Linked DNA regions of Arabidopsis thaliana. The protein of the gene in region 4 interacts with the protein of the main gene of each other region in a pairwise test. Each region holds a gene or a part of one and is shown on either strand. Other genes may lie near its edges. The genes, in order: AT1G67800, NAM, AFP2 and AT4G23050.

The links.
Region 1: the proteins of AT4G23050 (region 4) and AT1G67800 interact in a two-hybrid assay, tested with the Arabidopsis thaliana proteins (one large-scale study listed by BioGRID).
Region 2: the proteins of AT4G23050 (region 4) and NAM interact in a two-hybrid assay, tested with the Arabidopsis thaliana proteins (one large-scale study listed by BioGRID).
Region 3: the proteins of AT4G23050 (region 4) and AFP2 interact in a two-hybrid assay, tested with the Arabidopsis thaliana proteins (one large-scale study listed by BioGRID).

Annotation. Positions count from the first base shown.
Region 1 is NC_003070.9:25,420,109-25,425,245, forward strand, and holds AT1G67800 (Copine (Calcium-dependent phospholipid-binding protein) family), read right to left. Parts: upstream 3,557-5,137; 5' UTR 3,190-3,556; coding exon 2,893-3,189; intron 2,792-2,892; coding exon 2,707-2,791; intron 2,634-2,706; coding exon 2,493-2,633; intron 2,410-2,492; coding exon 2,296-2,409; intron 2,208-2,295; coding exon 2,110-2,207; intron 1,988-2,109; coding exon 1,908-1,987; intron 1,831-1,907; coding exon 1,725-1,830; intron 1,618-1,724; coding exon 1,490-1,617; intron 1,398-1,489; coding exon 1,229-1,397; coding exon of another isoform or gene 1,223-1,228; exon of another isoform or gene 1,151-1,222; coding exon 1,088-1,150; intron 1,002-1,087; coding exon 921-1,001; 3' UTR 538-920; downstream 1-537. UniProt on the Arabidopsis thaliana protein: Together with RGLG1, mediates the ubiquitination and subsequent proteasomal degradation of the target protein PP2CA.
Region 2 is NC_003070.9:19,688,208-19,692,479, forward strand, and holds NAM (NAC (No Apical Meristem) domain transcriptional regulator superfamily protein), read right to left. Parts: upstream 2,383-4,272; 5' UTR 2,224-2,382; coding exon 2,034-2,223; intron 1,937-2,033; coding exon 1,632-1,936; intron 1,546-1,631; coding exon 1,078-1,545; 3' UTR 501-1,077; downstream 1-500. UniProt on the Arabidopsis thaliana protein: May encode a transcription factor involved in the elaboration of shoot apical meristems (SAM).
Region 3 is NC_003070.9:4,711,724-4,715,925, reverse strand, and holds AFP2 (ABI five binding protein 2), read right to left. Parts: upstream 2,494-4,202; 5' UTR 1,958-2,493; coding exon 1,327-1,957; exon of another isoform or gene 1,184-1,326; coding exon 768-1,183; 3' UTR 519-767; downstream 1-518. Other genes in the region: AT1G13750 (Purple acid phosphatases superfamily protein), read left to right, coding at 1-41, 131-436; AT1G13730 (Nuclear transport factor 2 (NTF2) family protein with RNA binding (RRM-RBD-RNP motifs) domain-containing protein), read right to left, coding at 3,594-3,811, 3,888-3,948, 4,035-4,100, 4,187-4,202. UniProt on the Arabidopsis thaliana protein: Acts as a negative regulator of abscisic acid (ABA) response during germination through the ubiquitin-mediated proteolysis of ABI5/DPBF1.
Region 4 is NC_003075.7:12,078,475-12,084,808, forward strand, and holds AT4G23050 (PAS domain-containing protein tyrosine kinase family protein), read left to right. Parts: upstream 1-1,585; 5' UTR 1,586-1,637; coding exon 1,638-1,984; intron 1,985-2,175; coding exon 2,176-2,608; intron 2,609-2,717; coding exon 2,718-2,843; intron 2,844-2,946; coding exon 2,947-3,469; intron 3,470-3,596; coding exon 3,597-3,637; intron 3,638-3,726; coding exon 3,727-3,795; intron 3,796-3,887; coding exon 3,888-3,988; intron 3,989-4,113; coding exon 4,114-4,192; intron 4,193-4,283; coding exon 4,284-4,382; intron 4,383-4,468; coding exon 4,469-4,537; intron 4,538-4,633; coding exon 4,634-4,683; intron 4,684-4,789; coding exon 4,790-4,871; intron 4,872-4,947; coding exon 4,948-5,042; intron 5,043-5,137; coding exon 5,138-5,234; 3' UTR 5,235-5,782; downstream 5,783-6,334. Other genes in the region: AT4G23040 (Ubiquitin-like superfamily protein), read right to left, coding at 65-148.

The DNA.
Region 1 (5,137 bases), on a different chromosome or scaffold from region 4:
TTGTTGTTCTAAAAAGACTCTACTTTGAATATGTATTTACTAAACACAAAACAGCTTTGTCTCTTTGGTTTGCGTGATAAAAATATTAGTAGGGTCCCTGAAACTAAAGATTGTTGAGCAATATGACTGGAATCTTATTCAAAGACTTGAAACATAGCTTTATCTCTTTTTCAGATTTGAAAATCTACACATCTTATCACTGTGGTAATACTTTTCGTGATGAAAGACACACACTAGATTTATTCTGGGTAAGCAAATGAATGAATGGAGAGGATCACCGCCCGGACTGCTTAACCGCATATACGTAAAACTAATACAAACTTGTGGAAGAGTAAGAAAGAATAGCAGACTCAGATTGGGATCTTGTTCATTACTGAGGGAAGAAGACCAAGAAAAGTATATCGCATATATTCTTACAGTAAAAAGTGATCAGTTTGATAGAAACCTATAATAGCCTTTGTGTTTTTGCCATCTTTCGTTGACAGTTACATCAATTATGAATCTTTAACGACAGAGAATAGATACGACCCCATAAGATGTCAATTATGGAAGTTAAAGCAGGACCATCTGGGCTACTGTGTTGAAGACTAGATGTTTCAAACAAGAAAGGTATATAGTAGTGTGTTGTTTGATACATATGTCATAGGACCATTCAAGATTCAAATTCTTTTAAGTAAAAATGTGTAACCGCAGAGAAAGGATCCTTTATTCACGAGAGAGTCTGCTGTGGTTTTTTCATGTGCAATGAGAATGCAAAATTGACAACAGATTATCTACAAAACCTTTGAGAGGAACCGGTTATTCCCCTCAAAGTAAAAACAAATGTTAGGACACTGGTAAATGAGATCTAAGTTGGGATGGTGTTGGCTGTGAAAGATCTCAGACCACCTCGGGTTCCTTCAGTTCTTGAGAGACTTATCTTAATAAAGCTTGATACGAACCGAGATTGAGCTCCGGCAAATGGGACACACATGGAGGTCTTCCCCACATCCAGCGCAAGTCTGATGAGCAAAATAAGAAAAACAAAGGAAAGTTAACGATTTTGATTCAAGTGCGATGCTTAGGTAACTCGGGAGTGGAAATGCACCTGATGACCACAATTGAAAGCCATGTTCTTTGCACTCACTAGACATACGGGGCAAAACTGTTGCTGTTTATCCAACAAAAAGATGTGACGAGCAGCAAAAGATTATCAATGCATTGTTGTTTCTTTCTTTGTAAATCATACCTGGCTCTCGTTATGAGTAGTTGAAGGTGGTGTAGAGGAAACACCATTATCATATGGTTTGTTTTGAAAACTGGTTGATCGGGAAGTTCTTGGGCTGTTGCGCATAGATTGAGTAGCATAAGTTGGTGGTGGAAGCGCAATCCTGTCTGGACAATGTCCGGTTCTTTGTCTGCAAATTCGAAACAAGGAACGAAATTGGCGGTTATTGAGATCAATTCATAAATGCTGCAGTGATGAACTCAAATATCTGAATTTACTTACCCAAGTAAGCCTAGTTCGAGGGTGGCTTTATACTGAGACGGGATCTCCATCAAGGCAGAAAGCGCGAATTCTGCCTCTTTTCTTGCTGGATCAATGTTCTTTGACATTATATCCGTGAAATTCACAAACTGAAAGGATTCAAATAGACAACAAAAACCTTTGAAATTGATACATTTGCCAGGAAAAAGACAAGGGATCTATCTACACTATTGTAGAAACATGTTGATATTATTACCTGGAAATTGTCAAAGGCACGAGCGGGGATGTTGTCATCAAACTGTCTCATGGTGTCCCAGGGACCATCTCCAACACCAACAAGAACTATAGACAAAGGATATTCACTGCAACAGAATCCACCACAAGTTAGAGAGACACAGTTTGAAATTGGATTTTCGTCAAAGGAAATAGTATTTATTACCTTGCTCTAACAATGGCATCAATAGTCTGCTGCTCTTGTGGACTGAATCCACCGTTATCTGTATCAACACTTCTTGTCACCTGTCATAGTTAAAAGCTCCAATGGTAACTATACAGTACACAAATGTCTGGGAATGATTATAACTAAACACAAATAGATACAAGAAATACTTTCTCTAGTCGAATTAGGTTCCAATCTTTACCTGTCCATCAGCGATAATGAGAAGAACATGGTACTGGCCACCACTTTCTTCCACAATTGTCATGGCCCTTTCGATGATAGGTGCAAAAGATGTCGGACCTGTAAGAGAAGCAGCAAACTATAAGGAAAAAGTACAGCAAGATTCAGAAGACATGCAGAAGAAAAGGGATTATTCATCTCACTCAACCTGAGAGACGAAGCTGGGGAACAATCTCTCTGTAACACATGAGAACTTCTTCAAACCCGTTACAATATGTATCATTGGGATTGAAACTGAAGACATCCTGATCATGAGTTGTAGCTGCATAGTCAAAGAGAAACCAACCTTAAAATCTATTCTAGACAGGAACTTAACAGCTACATAAAAACAATCAGGGTTTGTACCATCTCCAAATCCATAACAGGGGATCAAATTATCCTCATCAAAAACCGATAAAGTCTTTCCAATGATGGAAATAGCTTGTTGATAAGGGTTTGGAGTAGTTCCAATGAAATGCAGACTCTTCCTACCAAATGATCTCGCCCCTAAATCAAATCACCCAAGTCAGCTTCCAGGTCAAAGAAACATATACTAAAACATTGAGATAAATTCTCTAACCTGTCCACTCGTTGCTCTTGGTGACATCTATACCAACAATGAGATTCGAGGACTCCAAACCGGCATGTGAAAGAGCAGCGGTAACCTAAAAGAAAAGAAATATCAACAAAACACCAATAGAGAGATTCACAAACCGACACAACGACCTAAGAGACAAACAAACAAAAACAAGAGTGATCATCAAACCTCATCAATGGAACGGTAGTTATCAGCAATCCGTGAATACTTCCTCTCAAGATTCTTCGGTGTTTGTCTCCCAGAATTATAGGATGAAACAGGAGACGCAGATGGATGGTTTGGTGTCTGATAATAGCTGCTCTGGTCCCAAGCAGACGAATAAGATGAGCTCCCAGACACACTACGTTCATACCTACGACCACTTCCACCTCCTCTAGGTGACTCTTTAGAGCTACTTCCTCCCATCCAAGACAACCAAACCCAAAACAAGATAAACAAAACAATCGCCTGCAACACTTCAAGCATATGTCAAAAAATCAGATTAAGCCAACAACAAAGTTCCCTTCTTATCAAAATCAAACACGCATATATAAATATGAGAGAGCTTATTGACTCTGAAACAGATCCAAAGTTTGGATTTTTTCATCAAAGTCTTCACCTTTTACATTGTTTAAACACGTTTGACTCGGTAAATTTCACATTCATTGCCTAATAAACTAATATATATCAGTAAGTCGCTTTCAGGAGGATTATAGCATCGCCGTGAAATACAAGGAAATTCTCAAAGTTTTTCCGGCGAGAAATGATAAATTAAGGGAAGACCCAATTCGGAAAATTACAGGAAACAAGGGCTTTACGAGTTGACTGGTTCAAACTAATTGAGAGAGTCACAGAGAGAGAGAGACGTTACCTGTAATCGAATCAGCCCAAGGATCTCTTGTGAAGTTGATTTTTTTAATTCACCAATTGTGACGTTTATATACGTATCCATTTCACAAAAACAAAACAAAAAATAAGGGAAGTAAACTTATAGTAATTAAAATTTTAGTTTGATAATTAAATTTTTGGGGGATCATATACCATAAGAAAAAAATTAAAATAAAATTTTACAATTACAATCTATGCATATTTTTATCCTACCAAAAAAATCTATGCATATTTTTATACTTAATTTATTAATTTTATAAATATATATTTTTTAAATAAATTAAGATTTCTTGAAGATATGGAAAAACGAAATTGAAATATACAGTAGAAATATTATTTTATTTCTTACATGATTTTCAATAATTTATTTATATTTATTATTTTCTTGCAAAAGATAAATTATCACATTTTCCTTTGTTTTTGTTAAAATTTTATCTTCCCCTGCATAAAAGATTTGACTAAATGCTAGATACAGTTCAATATATTACTATTAAGTTATATACTATCATCCAACAAGAAAAGTTGAACAGCAACTCCACAACCAAATAACCCAAGCTATGAACCTTAAGAAATTTAGACATGAAAAGTTGATAAACACTTATATCTTTATTTTATTGTTAAACATATAATGATATAAATCAATACAATGTGTTAACTTCTCATTATATGTTATTTAACACATTGTATTGTCACCACATATCTCTGTTTTCTTAGTTACGTTTTTTTGAGTTAATGATAACATCATAGATGTAAATGTTAAGTAGAAACAGTGTGTGACAGAGCATGATACAAAAAGTGTTTTATTTCAATATTTTACTTTTCTTAAAGTTCACATTTTTATTCTATAACACACAATACATAGATAGAGGCACAAAGACTTGCAAGCACAAACGAAAGAAGAGGGAGAGATAACAAAGATATAAGAGAAGAAAAACACACCGAACTACAGAAGAAGAATTTTGTTAATCTCGAACCCATTTCGGTTCTTTGATCACGATAAGTGGATTTACGCTTTCATCAAAGATGCAGTTAGATTTTTGCCTAAAACCGCGTAAACCGAGCTCCATCCTGCCTGAGTAGGGTGAAGTACATCCCAGAAGAAAGTAGACTTAGGATCATCGCATAAGGTATAGTTCTTCTGACCTTTCTCGTCCACAACCCCACAAACACCTCCTCAACATTCTTTCAACGGAGTTTTAAACCGCGTACTCCCTACATTTCCATAACCAATCACACAATATATAAAAGCCTTGAAAATATGGATTTCAAGAATGTTGTGTTTTACTTTTTCTTAACTGGAGTCTCTCCATTGTTCTTGAAAACGGTCAAGAAGGCGTTGTAGTAATCAATGAACATGAAAGTCGAATCCTTGGTCTCTTTGTTGAGCGTGGCCAGTAGTGTCTTCAACTTGTTGTTGTGATAGATCACTAGCCCGTTTACAGCTATAATGCAATCCTTGACTGTGGAGCCTTTGGAGATGAAGGGGATAGTTAAATAATGTTATTTGGAATTTTCCATATACATAATGGAATCTTCTTAGTTTATT
Region 2 (4,272 bases), on a different chromosome or scaffold from region 4:
AAGAAGAACATATATATTAGAGAGACACTAAATTTTGGAAACTAGTAATTAAATTGTGTTATGAACTCACCAACATGTGCATAGAGGATCGGCTAACACATCGCTGACAGTAGCATTCTGCCTTTCGAGTTGATTAGCTTGAACTTCATTACTTGCCATGGGAATAGCTTCTCTTTTCTTGGAAATCAAATTTGGTTAAGGATGGTATAAATATAATATAAAGAGATGGATATGTATGCCTTTTTTTGTTTAATATAAACGTAATATTGTGTTTTTTATTATTCTACTCAGCATCAAATTTGTATTTATCATTATGAAAAGAAAAGAAAAAAAAAATGATTAAAGATGTCCATTACATGTATTCGATTCGAATTTAATTATGAACATCATATTTATTTTTTGAACATTGTTTTTACAACAAGTGCAACATTTGTTTGATCTAACAAAAAGATTAAAACTTTTCAGTTTAAAACTATTGATTCAAACCAGATTTGAAGGCCCTTTGTCGTATCTTTTATCTCCACTTATTTTGATTGCCAAGATTTGGTTCCGAACATGTTTTCGACAAAGTCAAATAAAAGCTCCGCCAGATAGTTTCATTATCGTCTGTTTCTTATAAGTTAGGGTCTTCTACCAAATAGTATTTCTGATGTCACTTTAAAATCATGTTTTTAAAAAATAAAATTTGCAGCAAAACATGCGAATGTTGAAGCTGATAGTACTGAAAATAAATAGCTGAAGAAAAGCACAAGGGTAATCTAGTTTCTATAACTGTTAATATATTTTTATATATATGCATGCATTAATTTATACAAGCTACAAACATCTAAGTATAATCATCACCTATACATTAGTAAAAATAATAACATGAAAAAGAAAAGAAAAGAATATTTAAACTATTGTTGTATAATTTCTATATGTTACCTTATACCTCTCCTCCAATCTATTTAATTTAATCTCCTTAGTTCTATAACACTACAATAATAATCAACCGTAAATAAATCCCCCAATGCCCCCTAATCACTCAAACCGTATATATATACACAAATTTTAAAAATTCTTCATCGTAAATTGTTTTCAAGAATACCAATTCAAACCAGGCAATTGGTAAATCCCACCTTGGTTCTGCATTAACGGCGTCGCCGCCATAGAAGTCGAACAATCTCCAACGCCGCCGCCGTTAAATCTCTTGCTAGGTGACGACGACGATCCAATACCGGAATCTTGATTTAGACTAGTCATCATCATCACCGGTGGAAACAACTGCTCCTGCTTTGATCCAGATGCGAAACAATGATTCATCGAGTAACTTCCACCTCCGTATCCGCCGCCGCCACCATCATATATAGCCGTCGGATCATTATTGTCAGAAAAAATCGCCGGGAAGTGAAGACCAGGAGGAACATGACGGAATCGATCATCATCAATCATCATATCATGACGATGATGATCATTATCTAGATGAATATGATGAAGATGATGATGATGTCTAGATGCTGTACTATTGTTTTTCTTGTAGATACGACACAACACCCAATCATCAAGCTACATAGTAATAAAAAGAATCAAAAATTAGCCAATCAAAACTTTTCTTTTAAAATCAAGATTTTAAGAATATTATAATAATATACCCTGAGAGAGTTTTTCTTGTTGCCGAAGTCACAAATATGAGTAGGTTTATTATCAGTTAACCGATATTCATGCATAATCCAATCTGATTTAACTCCTTTTGGTGGTTTACCACTGTAAAACACTAGAGCCTTTTTAACTCCCACTTTTTTACTACCACCACCGCCGGTTGAAATCACCGGTTTATCTGTACCAGTCGCTTTCCAATAACCGGAAGTCGCAGCTCGGTTAGGTCTAGCTCCGTTGGGATATTTCCGATCTCTTGGACTGAAAAAATACCATTCTTGTTCTCCAAACGAAGCTTTCGCTGTCACAATCAAGAACACAAAAAAAAACAAAAATCAGTAAAAAAAAAAATGAAACAGATCTGATCGGATTATGATCTTGGTCTTGTTTCAACTTACCGGGAAGTTCCCATGGATCAAATTTGTAAAGATCAACGTCGGCGATGATCGCGACTGGTAAAGGAACAGAATCTGCTTTGCGTTTGAGGTAATGAATTACAAGTTCTTCGTCTGTTGGATGAAACCGGAATCCTGGAGGGAGGTTTGGTTGCGGCGGCGGAGGACCACCGGAAGAATCTGTACTCTCCATTAAAATGATGATCGGAGAATATTTTTTATGGTTTGAGAGAGTTTTAGAGAGTCGGCGTTAGTAATCTTTCTTTTTAAAAATGGAAGGCATTAAAACGACAAATCAAAATGGCTTTTATCCTCTGGAATCTTTTGTACGTAGACCATCGTATCCACTCGTATTTATTTACAATTTTTGAGAATTTTTTTTGTATTAAAACCATAAATGTCTATGAGATTTTTTTGTTACACATCAAATGGTATTTCTATTTATATTTGTGGAATATGGACGATCAAAACGTATTAATTACCGTAGCTATCTAAATCAATAGTTTGTGTTACAGTTTAACCTATTGTAGAGATCTAATATATTTAATATGTATAGCTGTACGCTATGTAGTTATATATGTAGATTAGCAACAGGAAAAAGGAATAAAATGTCATACCAAAAAAAAAACGTTTTGACCCATATGTGTAGGAAGGTGTAGGTAAAGAGATTTCTATCATTGATTTCAAATTAAAATAGATGATGCTATCTTATCTTCGTGAATCATGAGAGAGTACATTTAATTTGCTTTGTTGATCCTTTTCACTAATTAATTTGATCTATATGTACTTAGCTAGAATTAAATCGTAGTTTATCTTTCATCTTCTGTAGATTTCAATTCATAAGATGATAAAACCATTTGTTTTTTGTAAAGTTTGTTTGACCTACAAAATACTGTTAATCTCAGATTAGTGTTTGTAATTAACAATTGTACCCCAAAAAATAATATTTTATTATTTTAGACCCGGAATATTAGAATTTGTTGGCAATCAATAATAATACATAATCTCCCATAATTCAGCCGAGTTTAGTGTGGTTTGGTTTGTACTAAAAGGAGATAAAGAGTGGCGACAATTCGACACATATACAAAGTCTGACTAATCATGTCGAATCTTTTTAAATTACGATACTAACCAAGGCAAAGGAGGGTAAAATAGTGATTTCGGAGTCGATAATGACTTTCTTAACCTCTTTAACCATGCATTATCGTCTGTGTTCATATAGGCTCAAAGTGTGGCTTGACACGAGCGACCATTAACAACGATAGCGATTGTTTTCATCCAATAAGCATATATATATTTTTGTCTCTATAGTAAGTTATAATAAAAAAATTAAAAAAAATTATAATAACAAAAATCATATAAGAAAAGTGCACGGCACTATTAATTTAGTTTTTTTATCTATAAAATATTTTTAAAATAATATATACTTTAATAAATTTACATGGAACTTGCAAGGTTTCAACCAACCGATTTATTATTGTTTTACGTGGTAGTTTTTTTCATCATCCCTAAACTTAAGTGGTATACTATATAGTTTTACCTTTTAACGGTTAAACAAATACTTTAAAATAGAATAATTTAAAATTTAATGAAAACAGAATATAAATTAAAATATTTTTTACCAATGCAAAAACTTCTACGTATCACTTTTTTTTTTTGATTATCATGTGTGGACAAATAACTGAAGGTGCATGCTTCCAATAGTACCGTGTTATTCTGAGTACATTACGTCGACACGTGGCAAGCTGTAAAATGGGACCCGCTTAAGTGCCACACAAGGCAACAAAGTGAAAATTCAAAAAAGCTTTTTTACGTTTCAAATGTCATATCACGCTTTTGTATTCCCTTTGTATTTTGTGACCATTGGAATTTTATAAAGAAATTCATCAATTAACAAAAAATTAATTAATTATCTTGATAATTAATATATAACAATATATTATTTAATATATCTATTTTTGGTTATGAGTTACATAACAATATAAGCAAGAATTACCAACTGTTTGAGTAATGCGAAATTTTATTATTTTCACACTCTAATTTTTATTATTTCTTAAACCTTTAATCGTTGGTTTATATATATATATCAGACCTGATGCGTTTTTCTCACAAACTAATTTTCTATACAAATAGATAAAGAGATAATGAAAGGATTATTTGAGGGTGGCAATGAACGGATCTTATGAACTTTTTTTCGTCACTAAAAAGTAAAAAAAACTAAACTTTGACTTAGTGCAAATAA
Region 3 (4,202 bases), on a different chromosome or scaffold from region 4:
GCCATGCACATAACTACGAGAGAACATGCCCGGTTTACCAGGTAAACATCATGTACTGTACTGGCATATCGAAGAATGGTTCTTAAGAAAAGGGAATTATTCCATTGTTTGTTTCGTTTCTTGTCTGTAGAGTGTATGCACGAGTCATGAGAAGAGTAACTACAAAGCTCCATTGAATGGAACCATTCACATTGTTGCTGGAGGTGGAGGAGCTGGTCTTGCTGAATTCTCTGATCTTCAACCGAATTGGAGTCTGTTCAGAGACTATGATTACGGATTCCTTAAACTTACAGCCATTGATCACTCAAACCTTCTGTTTGAGTACAAGAAGAGCAGTGACGGACGAGTCCACGATTCTTTCACGATATCAAAAGATTACAGAGACATCTTGGCTTGTGCGGTTGATAGTTGTCCTGCAACTACACTTGCTTCATAAAAACTTTTCAACTGCTTGAGCTCTTCTGTACTCACTTGTTCCCTCTTCATTGTTAAACTGTTATAATGTTTACACATCAATTATACGCACTTTGCAGAGAGGACTTATATTAAACGCGAGAGCTCGAGAAAGAATCATTCGATGATGATACTTTCATGTTCACAAGTATTAGACCTAAGACAACATGAGAATCTTGATCTTCATCAAGATTTGAGGTTTTGGCATTCATTTTTATAGCCAAAAACCAGAGAGATCCAAAAGATAAAACAACAAGAAAAAAAATGAAACAGAGAACACAAGACCCTTCCGGTTTCTTCACCGATTCTTCGATTTAAAAGGTCGAAGAAGAGGTGTTGACAACGATATGCCGAAGAGGACGATCCACATCTCCACCACCACCATGTTTAACAAACTCAGCTGGTGTCAAGAAACTACCATGGCAAATGCACATTATCCTCACTTCCTCTCCTTTTCCATACTTGTACAGAATCCCATCAACCCGTCTTCCGTTTGGCCCGTCCCCTTTAGTAAACACACAAGGCATATCAACCAAACCAGTAGACGTAGCCATCCCTTTTCCTTTCCTATCCACCGAGTCTTCACTTCTCACTCTTTTTTCATTCTCATTCTCATTCACTTTGTTGGCTCTAGTCACACTCGGTCTCTCTGTTCCCTGGCTTCCGCTGTTCGATGAACATCCTGCCACGATTTTCGGGCTTCTTTCATCATTGCAGCTGTTTGATGATCCTACAACACATAGACTCAGATCACTCTTCCACTGAATACATTCACTCATTCTACAATTCCACAGGTTCAATGACAAATATCCAATTTTACATTTTAGTGTTACTAATCTTGTGTCTAAAAACCAACAATGTATTGAAATCTACCTTGCTGATTTTTGTTGTCTAGCTCCGACAAGCTCGATGAACTACCTCCTCCCGTTGCTCCTCCTCCATCGGAATCAACACCACAGACTTGTCTATTAGAAGAAACCAAATGTCTCTGCAAGAAGCCACTTTTACTCGCAGTAACCCATCTCTCATTCTCAAACGACACCGTTTGGTCATCAGAATTCCCAACTCTGAAACTCTGTTTCTCACATCTCCTTCTCTTAGCTTCCATTCTCCTAAGCGATTGCATCTCTTTCCTTTTCCTCCATTCCTCTTCCATCTCCGCCGGTAACGACGTCGTTCTCTCTAAACCCACCGTGTAATTCTCAGGCTCAGCCACAGTTGAATCGTTGAATGGTACAGTGTCCAAAACAGAAGAAGATCGTTTCAGCTTCCTCGGAGTCTTGTCTACTCCGAATCTACCACCTAAAGACAAACCAAGATTGAGCTCAATCGTACTCTCATCATCGCAGTTTGTTTCTCCGCCGTGAAAGACTCTTCCACCGCCGTTTTCAGACATGAAACCTCGTAACAGATCTCTCGGGTATTTATCTATGTCTAGAGAAAGATTTGTCGTAACCGTCATTTCTCTGTTCCATGCCCTTTGTTGTCTGCTTGCTTCACCCATAGATTCCGAAACAATAGAAAGAAAGAAAAAAAAAGTTTTTTGTTTTGTTTCTTCTTTGTTATAAGATGATGAAGAAGAATGAAAAACTCTGAATTTCACATCCGATCAAAAATCCAAAATTGTCATCATGAATTAAACAGTAAATCTCGCAAATTCATATCAAAGTAAAAAAAAAAAAAAAACTCGCCGGAGTTAATACCAGAGACGGCGAAGAAGACGAAGAGGTTATAATTGAAAGTGAAGAGCAGAGACAAAGAAGAAGACCCTTTTGGACATTAGAGGAAAAGAGAGAGAAGAAGAAAGAAAGAAAGAAAGAGAGACAGGCCTTGACTGAGAGGAGGCAAGTGGCCGCCGAGAGAGCTGCCTGAACGACACGTGGCCGGTGGATTACGTCGGCGTTCCATAGTGCTGCTTCAAGAAACGTGTCGTAAAGTGACTGAGTTATCCAGTGTCACGACACGTGTCTCCCAAGTAAAAAGATCCGTTTTCTCCTTTTTCCCCTTTTCTTTTTAATTTTTTTGCACAAGTTTTTGTAAAAGAGAAAAAAAAAAATCTCAAACTCGAAAAAAAAAAATATTACCTCAAAAATTAACAAAATCAGACATAAACGTATATAGAGAGTAAGAAAATGACAGACCTGATTAGTGATTACTTATGGTATCGTTGATTTATAATTTTACAATCTCTTGTAATCTTATTTATATTGGGAGAGTTAACAACAACATAATTTGAATATGATAAATCTAGCGACTCGACAACGTCACTCACGTGGGTTAGACCAAAGGACCCACGAAGCAAGCAAGTTGCTTGTGAAAAAGTGAAGGGAGAATAAAAACACTTCCATGTAAAAGTAATTGAATACTACTACTACACAAAGGCAATCATCAATAAACCATAGTATATAAACTAAAAGACTTAACAATGATAATATAAAGTAATTAACAAGGTAAAGTTTGATTATTGGCGACTAATCGTTTGATGGAGAAGAGTTTAGATTAGCATAATGAGCAATATAACTTAGTGAAAAAGTCTGATTATTATTGATTCAGTGACAGTTAGGTTTGAGAATGAAATCTATAAATCGAAAAGAAGATTTTTAGAATCCTTGGTGGGTCACTTTGTTGAGTCAAGTGGGGACGTCAAGATCTTTACACCATAAAAACCAAAAATGCTACGTGTTCGTCACCTGTTGGTTTGTGTAATAATGCAAACTTAGAGAATACTACAATACGTCGTCGTTTGAAGACCAACACCATTCACATCAAGCCCATAAGTTTAAGGGTTCGTTGCCCATTTGTTTTTTTCACTAGAAAATATTTTATTCGGTTTGGTCCTAAAAGATGTCTCAATCAATTGACAACGAACTTCCGATTAATTTTGGTTATGTGTAAACCGGACCAAATGAAGATGATTCAGAATGGAAGGTAAAAGTAATCATCAAATTTTTGTTATCCCAAACAAAATCTCAAAGAAGGGATTATCACCTAAGAGATAAACCTACTCCAAAAGAACTTCTAATCTCTCTCTCTCCCTCTCACTATCTCTTCCTATAAAACCTCAATTTCAAATGAACAACAATAACACAACAGAGTTTAACAAATGACTTCAAACTTGTTTAGCCTCTGGATTGAGTATTTTAACGGCTAGCTTCTACCGTACCGTTCTGATGAACTTTGCCATCACCATTGTGAGCCTCACCATTGCGTGATTCACCCCGTCTCTCAGATCCATTTCTTCCATAGCCTCGACCTCCATTGGAACCGTTGCCTCGAGGCCTATACCCATCGTTTCTGTAACCGTTGTCGTTCCTATAACCTCCGTTTCGCATTGCGGGTCTTCCATTATCGTTGTTGCCTGCAACGGAACCAATGGTTTCAGTTTTTCTACCCTGAAGTTGGAGACATTAGTACTAAACTTTACTTTGACTTACCTCGTTTCTCTTCTATTGAAACTCTTCGGTTTCCGATTCTGATGGCTGATTCTTTGTGAGCCTAGAGTTGTGTAGTAGAACATCAAAAGAAGAATCCAGTTTATAACCAAAAAGTTTGTAAGAAATATCGTTGATGTTGAAACATACCTGGAGGACCAATTTCACAGCTTCAGCAGATGCGAATGTCACAAAGCCAAAACAGTTTCCCTTGAGCTGCAAAAGAAAAACTTAATGAGGATTTCAAAAAAATTGGCTGTGAAACAAGTTTCTTCAAAAGATCCATTCAATAAACAACTCACCCTGTAACTTCTCACT
Region 4 (6,334 bases):
ACAAAATAACATCTAAACAATAGAAGGAAGACGGAAAAAACCCAGGGAAGTGTAATTGAATCACCTCGAGCTTACGAACGGCGACGGCATTGGAAGAGCCGGTGATGGTCATGAAGGTGTCAATAGCTTCCTGAGTAGGTGTCGCCATTAGAAAAGAGAAAGCTTGAGAGAAGTTTTTCGTCGGAGATTTGTGTTTGGAGCTGGAGTGAAGGAGGAGGCAAGAATTAATATATGTTGTAAATCACAAAAATTGCAGTGAAGAAAGGAATTGGATCGGTGACTCTTAAGATTTTTAAAGCCTTTTTTAGGGTCTTTCTTCTTTTCCATTTTTTTTAATTCTCCTTTTTTATTTGGTGTGGATTTTCTTAAACTTTATTTTCTTTATTCTTTTTGTATATTTTCGGTGATATTCAAGATATTATTTTCAGAGAACTTGAGATAATATATGGAGTGTCCTAATCTGAATAACTAAATAAATAATTATTCAGTTGAAATTGGATTTTTTTTTTCAGAGTCTTTATATTTTATAAACTGGAATTCGAGTCAAATTCAGAGTGGATTAAACTTATCTTTTTAGTTTTTACTAGCCAAGAACTTTTTGACCTTTTTTTTTAACATGATATTAATTGTTATAGTGTATATACATTAAAAGTTAGATAATTTTTAATGTACAAAAAAAAAGTTACATAATTTATTTTTTTTCACACCAATTACATATTTTATTTGTCAATTTGACAGTAAATATGGAAATAAGCCTTAAAATGTAAAGGCTTTTCGGTCCAACAACGAAAAACCAAAACCAAACCCAAAACTAAAATATCCAAAGATATCCTCACTTTATGATCATCCCAATCTTCCCTCTATATAGTGCCTTTAAAGGAGCTGTCATGTTCTCTTTCGGCCGTTTGTAATATAAGAATTGTCGTTTTTGTCCAAAAAAAAGGGTTGGCTTTCAGTTTGTGTCCCAGAAACAAAGTAAATCTTTAGATAAATTGAAACAAAACTAGCTTTGTGACTCCAATTAAACTTTGCTTCCTCTAAGAAACCTTATGGAGAGTATTATTCTACAATGATTTGAAGTATACTACTAATAATTGATTACATTTAAATTCAACTATAATTTATTGTTATTGTTCTTCAATCAACTTGAACTTTGAGTTTATTGGGCACATTACTTTTAGAGGAATGTGAATGTGAACATTGAAGAGACGTGTATTTTATTTTCTTCTTGACAAATACCGTTGGAGGTATAAAAACACCATCAAACTCAGGCCCATTTGGCAATGGCGGCAACAAGAATGGGTATTATATTGAGGTTAATTTCGTCAATCACCACTTTTAAATCGTGACAAATTCGTCTATTATCTCTCAATCTTCTTCAACCTTCAATTACATCGGCAATTCTACAAGTGGCAGCATCCTATTAGTAACAAACACACGTGGCGTAAGCTAATGCGTCGTAGTGTTTATAATAGCTGGGGTTTGTTAATTATGGCGTCACGAGTGATTTAAGAAGCAGCTGAAAAATAATAAACAATGAGGGAATGCCAACGTTTTAAATTATATTTTTAATTTGTGAATTTTCATCAGAGTCGGATCTTGATGCGACTGCTCAAACAGAGTCACCGGCGATTACGATGGCCGGAAACAACTCGGAATCGAGTCTCTACCAGGTTTTGGTGGAGTGGTGTCAGAGGATGGAGACGAGTCAAGCGAGACTAAGGGAGGATGTTGATGACTTATTGCTTCAGGAGGAGAGTCGAACCGGTAAGGAATCGGCGACGGGATTGGAGACGGACACGGAGAAAGAGGCTGAGGTAGAGGTGGAAGCGGAGGCGGCGGATTCCTGGGATAATCCGACGGCGACTTGGGAGAGAGCTGTTTCAGGATTCTATTTCGCTGATAGTGCGTATCGGACTTTGATGGATTCAATGGGACACGCGATTCATGTAACATCAGCTGCGTCTGGAGAAATTACATTCTGGTGAGCTTGATAAGTTCTTCTTCTTCATCTATGGTGTTTGTAGATCAGGAGCTTATAGTTCTTCTAAGTACTGTTTCATTGAATTGTGTGTTTAAGTAGTTAAACAAAGTTATATATAGCGATTCATTGTATATGCAAGTGGACATTTACTATTTGTTTCTGAGTGGAGAGATTCTTTTATTATTATTCAGGAGTCGTTCTGCTGAGAATCTGTACCATTGGTATGCTGAGGAAGTTGTTGGCTACAGAACTATTGATGTGCTTGTAACCGAAGAATACCGTAATTCCCTTACTGGTATCAGGAATAGGGTGTGCCGTGGAGAGACTTGGACTGGTCAGTTTCCGTTTCAGAAGAAAACTGGTGAACTATTTATGGCTTTGGTGACTAAAAGCCCTGTGTATGAAAACGGTGAGCTGGTTGGTGTTGTTACTGTCTCGAGCGATGCAACCCTTTTCAATAGGATGCATCCACTAAGTAATGAGCATCAACAACAAGCTCGTAGTAATAATAGACATGAATCAAACTTGAGAAAACATCAGTGGCACCTCCCGAGGCCTCAGATCGCTGCAGCATCACAGGTTCCAGTTGTCCCACAATATTCATCAGCTGTTGCTTCAAACCTGGTAGATCTCACATCATGAATGTTCGAAGTTTCTCAGTACTTTTTTTTATATAATAATTCGTGTGCAACATGAATGATTGTTTGTTTTGCTGTTTTCTGCACAAACCAAGAAGGCGTCGAAGCTTCTACCACAGAGAAATGGAGATGATTCCTTCAATGGAAATCATAATTCGAGGAGCCGAGATGAAAATGTTCCGGTTGTTGCCTCCACAACTTTCGAGAAGTATGGCTCACTGGTAAGTCTTCGTTGGCTCCTTAAACAAGACACTTCTCATTGACATTTCTTAGAACGATTATTGTCTCATGTTATAAGCTAAATCTGCATATACACTAGTGTAGGCGGATAAGTTTTTGGGGAAGCTGCAAAGGAAGATTACTGGCAGCCAAGGAACCGAAGATAATGAGCCTATCTTAAGAAACGGTATCAATAAGTCAGCATGTGGCAGTGGAGGTAGTTCTAAGGCTTCTAATGCAGTTACCTGCACGGCTTTCAGAGACAATGGCAATGGAAAACCAAAAAGGGCTGAAGTTAGAATTTCAGATGTCTATGGAAATGGAGCTGAGGGTTTGATACATAATGGAGATCGCTTTCAGTATATTGGGAACCTGGGACAAAGTAAACCTCCCAGAGGACTAGAGAGTGGTTTGGTGTCTGGCATGCGGGGAACAAAAATGTCGGACCTAAATGGTGAGATAGAAGATGCTTGGAATACTCGTCTTAGTGTTGATCCCTTGCCAATTCTAGGAGTCAACAGCGGTAGGCAACAAAGTCCTGTCAACCAAAGGAATAATAGATTAGTTACTGATTCGTCATGTGAGATACGATGGGAAGATCTACAACTTGGGGAGGAGGTCGGAAGAGGTGTATTTCATTTACCAAAGTCTTACACTCGTTTTCACGTTTTAGATATGCAAATTCAATTCAGATCTGTGTCATTGCTGTTTAAATCAGATTACAAGTATTTCTGATGCGTTACATTTTCTCACAGGTTCATTTGCTGCGGTTCATCGTGGAGTTTGGAATGGATCGGTGAGTTTTCTGTAATTTAAGATAAAATAAGGATGATTCTAGTATTAGTTGCACATGGATAACTAACTAGTCCAATCTATTTGGACCAGGATGTTGCTATTAAGGTTTACTTCGATGGTGATTACAATGCGATGACTTTGACGGAGTGCAAAAAGGAGGTATGTATAATTAGTTCTCTCTGTTATGAATTGTTTCTAGAAGTTACTCGTACCAGACAAAATAAATCAGTTTTGATCAATAATATCTTCAGATCAACATTATGAAGAAACTGAGACATCCGAATGTGCTACTATTTATGGGAGCAGTATGTACAGAAGAAAAATCTGCCATAATCATGGAATATATGCCAAGGTGAGATTATTGACGTATGGATCTGGAAGTAGTGTTACTCCTTATCGAGTGTGTTATATTATGCTGCAAGAAATTGCAGATGAATACTCTGTGCTAAGTTATTTCTATACGGTTTTGATGATTAGAGGGAGTCTCTTCAAAATACTTCATAATACGAATCAGCCATTGGACAAGAAACGCCGTTTAAGAATGGCCCTTGATGTTGTAAGACTCTGATCTTCCAAAAACCTCCCTCACAATGAAAGAAAAAAATATGAAAGGCTGATTATATTCGGGTTCTCTGTTGTTGTTGCAGGCTAGGGGAATGAATTACTTACACCGCAGAAATCCGCCAATTGTACATAGAGACTTGAAATCTTCCAATCTACTCGTGGACAAGAACTGGAATGTCAAGGTACAAACAGTTTTCTCAAGTTACATTTATGAAGACTTGTAAAATGAGTTTACTATTGCATGGACTTTCAACTCTTTCTTCCCTAGGTTGGAGACTTTGGGTTATCAAAGTGGAAGAACGCAACCTTCTTGAGTACTAAATCCGGGAAAGGAACTGTAATGTTTAACAAAAGCCATTTCTGATTCTTTTAATCCACAAAACAGTCTTGGATTTCTGTTACTAAACATTGTTCAACTTTTTTCTATGTGCAGCCGCAGTGGATGGCTCCTGAAGTTCTCAGAAGTGAACCTTCGAATGAGAAGTACGTTGGATATAATATTAACCCTTTTTTGTTCTCTTTTCGAAGACATTATTCAATAACTTGAACATTTTTTTGGACTAAAAGCTCAATGCTTTCGTTGTAATAGGTGTGATGTGTTCAGCTTTGGAGTCATCTTATGGGAGCTAATGACTACGTTAGTACCATGGGACCGTTTGAACTCTATTCAGGTACCTCTCAAATTCTGTTCTTATGAGATTATAGCTTGATCATAAGATTGTAGTAATCTTAGCAACTTTAAATTAGGTTGTTGGAGTTGTTGGTTTCATGGATCGACGATTAGACTTACCTGAAGGATTAAATCCCCGGATCGCATCCATAATACAGGATTGTTGGCAAACGTAAGAAGACGCATCTGTAAATTGTTTCATCAAATACACCCTACAAACTTAGGGGCGATTTTTCTTATATTCTTTGTTCTAAATTGTTGAAACAGTGATCCAGCAAAACGACCGTCGTTCGAGGAATTAATTAGTCAGATGATGAGCCTGTTCCGCAAACCAGGGTCAGGTGCGCAAGAAGAAGACGATTGAGAAGGTAAACAGTACATGGTTAAAGGATAGTTCACAAAGCAAAGGACGTGAAAAGAAAACGAAAGCATCGTCCTGATCACTTACTATACAAATGTTTCATTGTGTTATACCAAACTACTATTTATGTTTTCATTGAAAGAAAGAAAGCAAAAATAGCTAAATCAAAGTAATATACAGTAGAATCTTAGGTTAGTTTAGTTAAACTATGCATTATATAAACTGTTGTCGGTTTATGAGCTAAGTTGTAAAATGGGATCTAAAAAGGCAGAGGCGCAGAGGCCAGAGGAGGACTCAGATGTAATTTAAGAAGTAAAAGGGTGAAAAAGAGAAATACGAGAAAAACTGTGAGATTGATGGTGTCTTGTAGTGAATTGTAATGTAGTTGGTTTTGGTTTGATGGGGTAAGAGAAGGAGGAGTGACAATTCGTAGGCATTGCTTCTTTTGCTTTAATATTCTCTTATTACAGCTTCCCATCACTGCGTCGTCTGTAGCTTCTCAGCACCTAATTATAAGAGAGAGTCAGAACCCTAAATAAAACTTTTTTTTCAATCCTTATTCGTAATTCCACATTACAGCATCTTGAAATTGACGCAGTCACAAAAGCATAATTAAAAAAAAAAGGATACAAAGATGGGTCTATTATACCGAGTATGTATTGTGCATGCATGTGACGTGGGTGAAGGGAACTTCTCTTATAGAAGTATTGAAAAAGGAGAAATTTTGGGGGATTGAAAATATTTGTCTGTTTGTCTGGTTAGGTCAGAACAAATCACATCGAGCTGCATAGTAATATTTCGTTTACAACACATGGTTGTGACCTCTAGACAAATAAACTTTTTAACAGTTTTCGCTGTTTTGCCTTGCATGTATTTCGTAGTATTTCAATTTATATGTAACTATATTTCAATTGAAACATCTTTACCATATTATTTTCTTTTTTGATGCCAATTTCTTTACCATGTGTTTGCTCTTGTGTTATTTATGTGTGATTGATTGATTGACCGTGTCGATTACCCAAGCGGAATCTTGTAAAGGGATACTCCGTCACCGTAATACAGTGACAGCATATTTAATTTAAAATAATATAAAGTCATTGTAG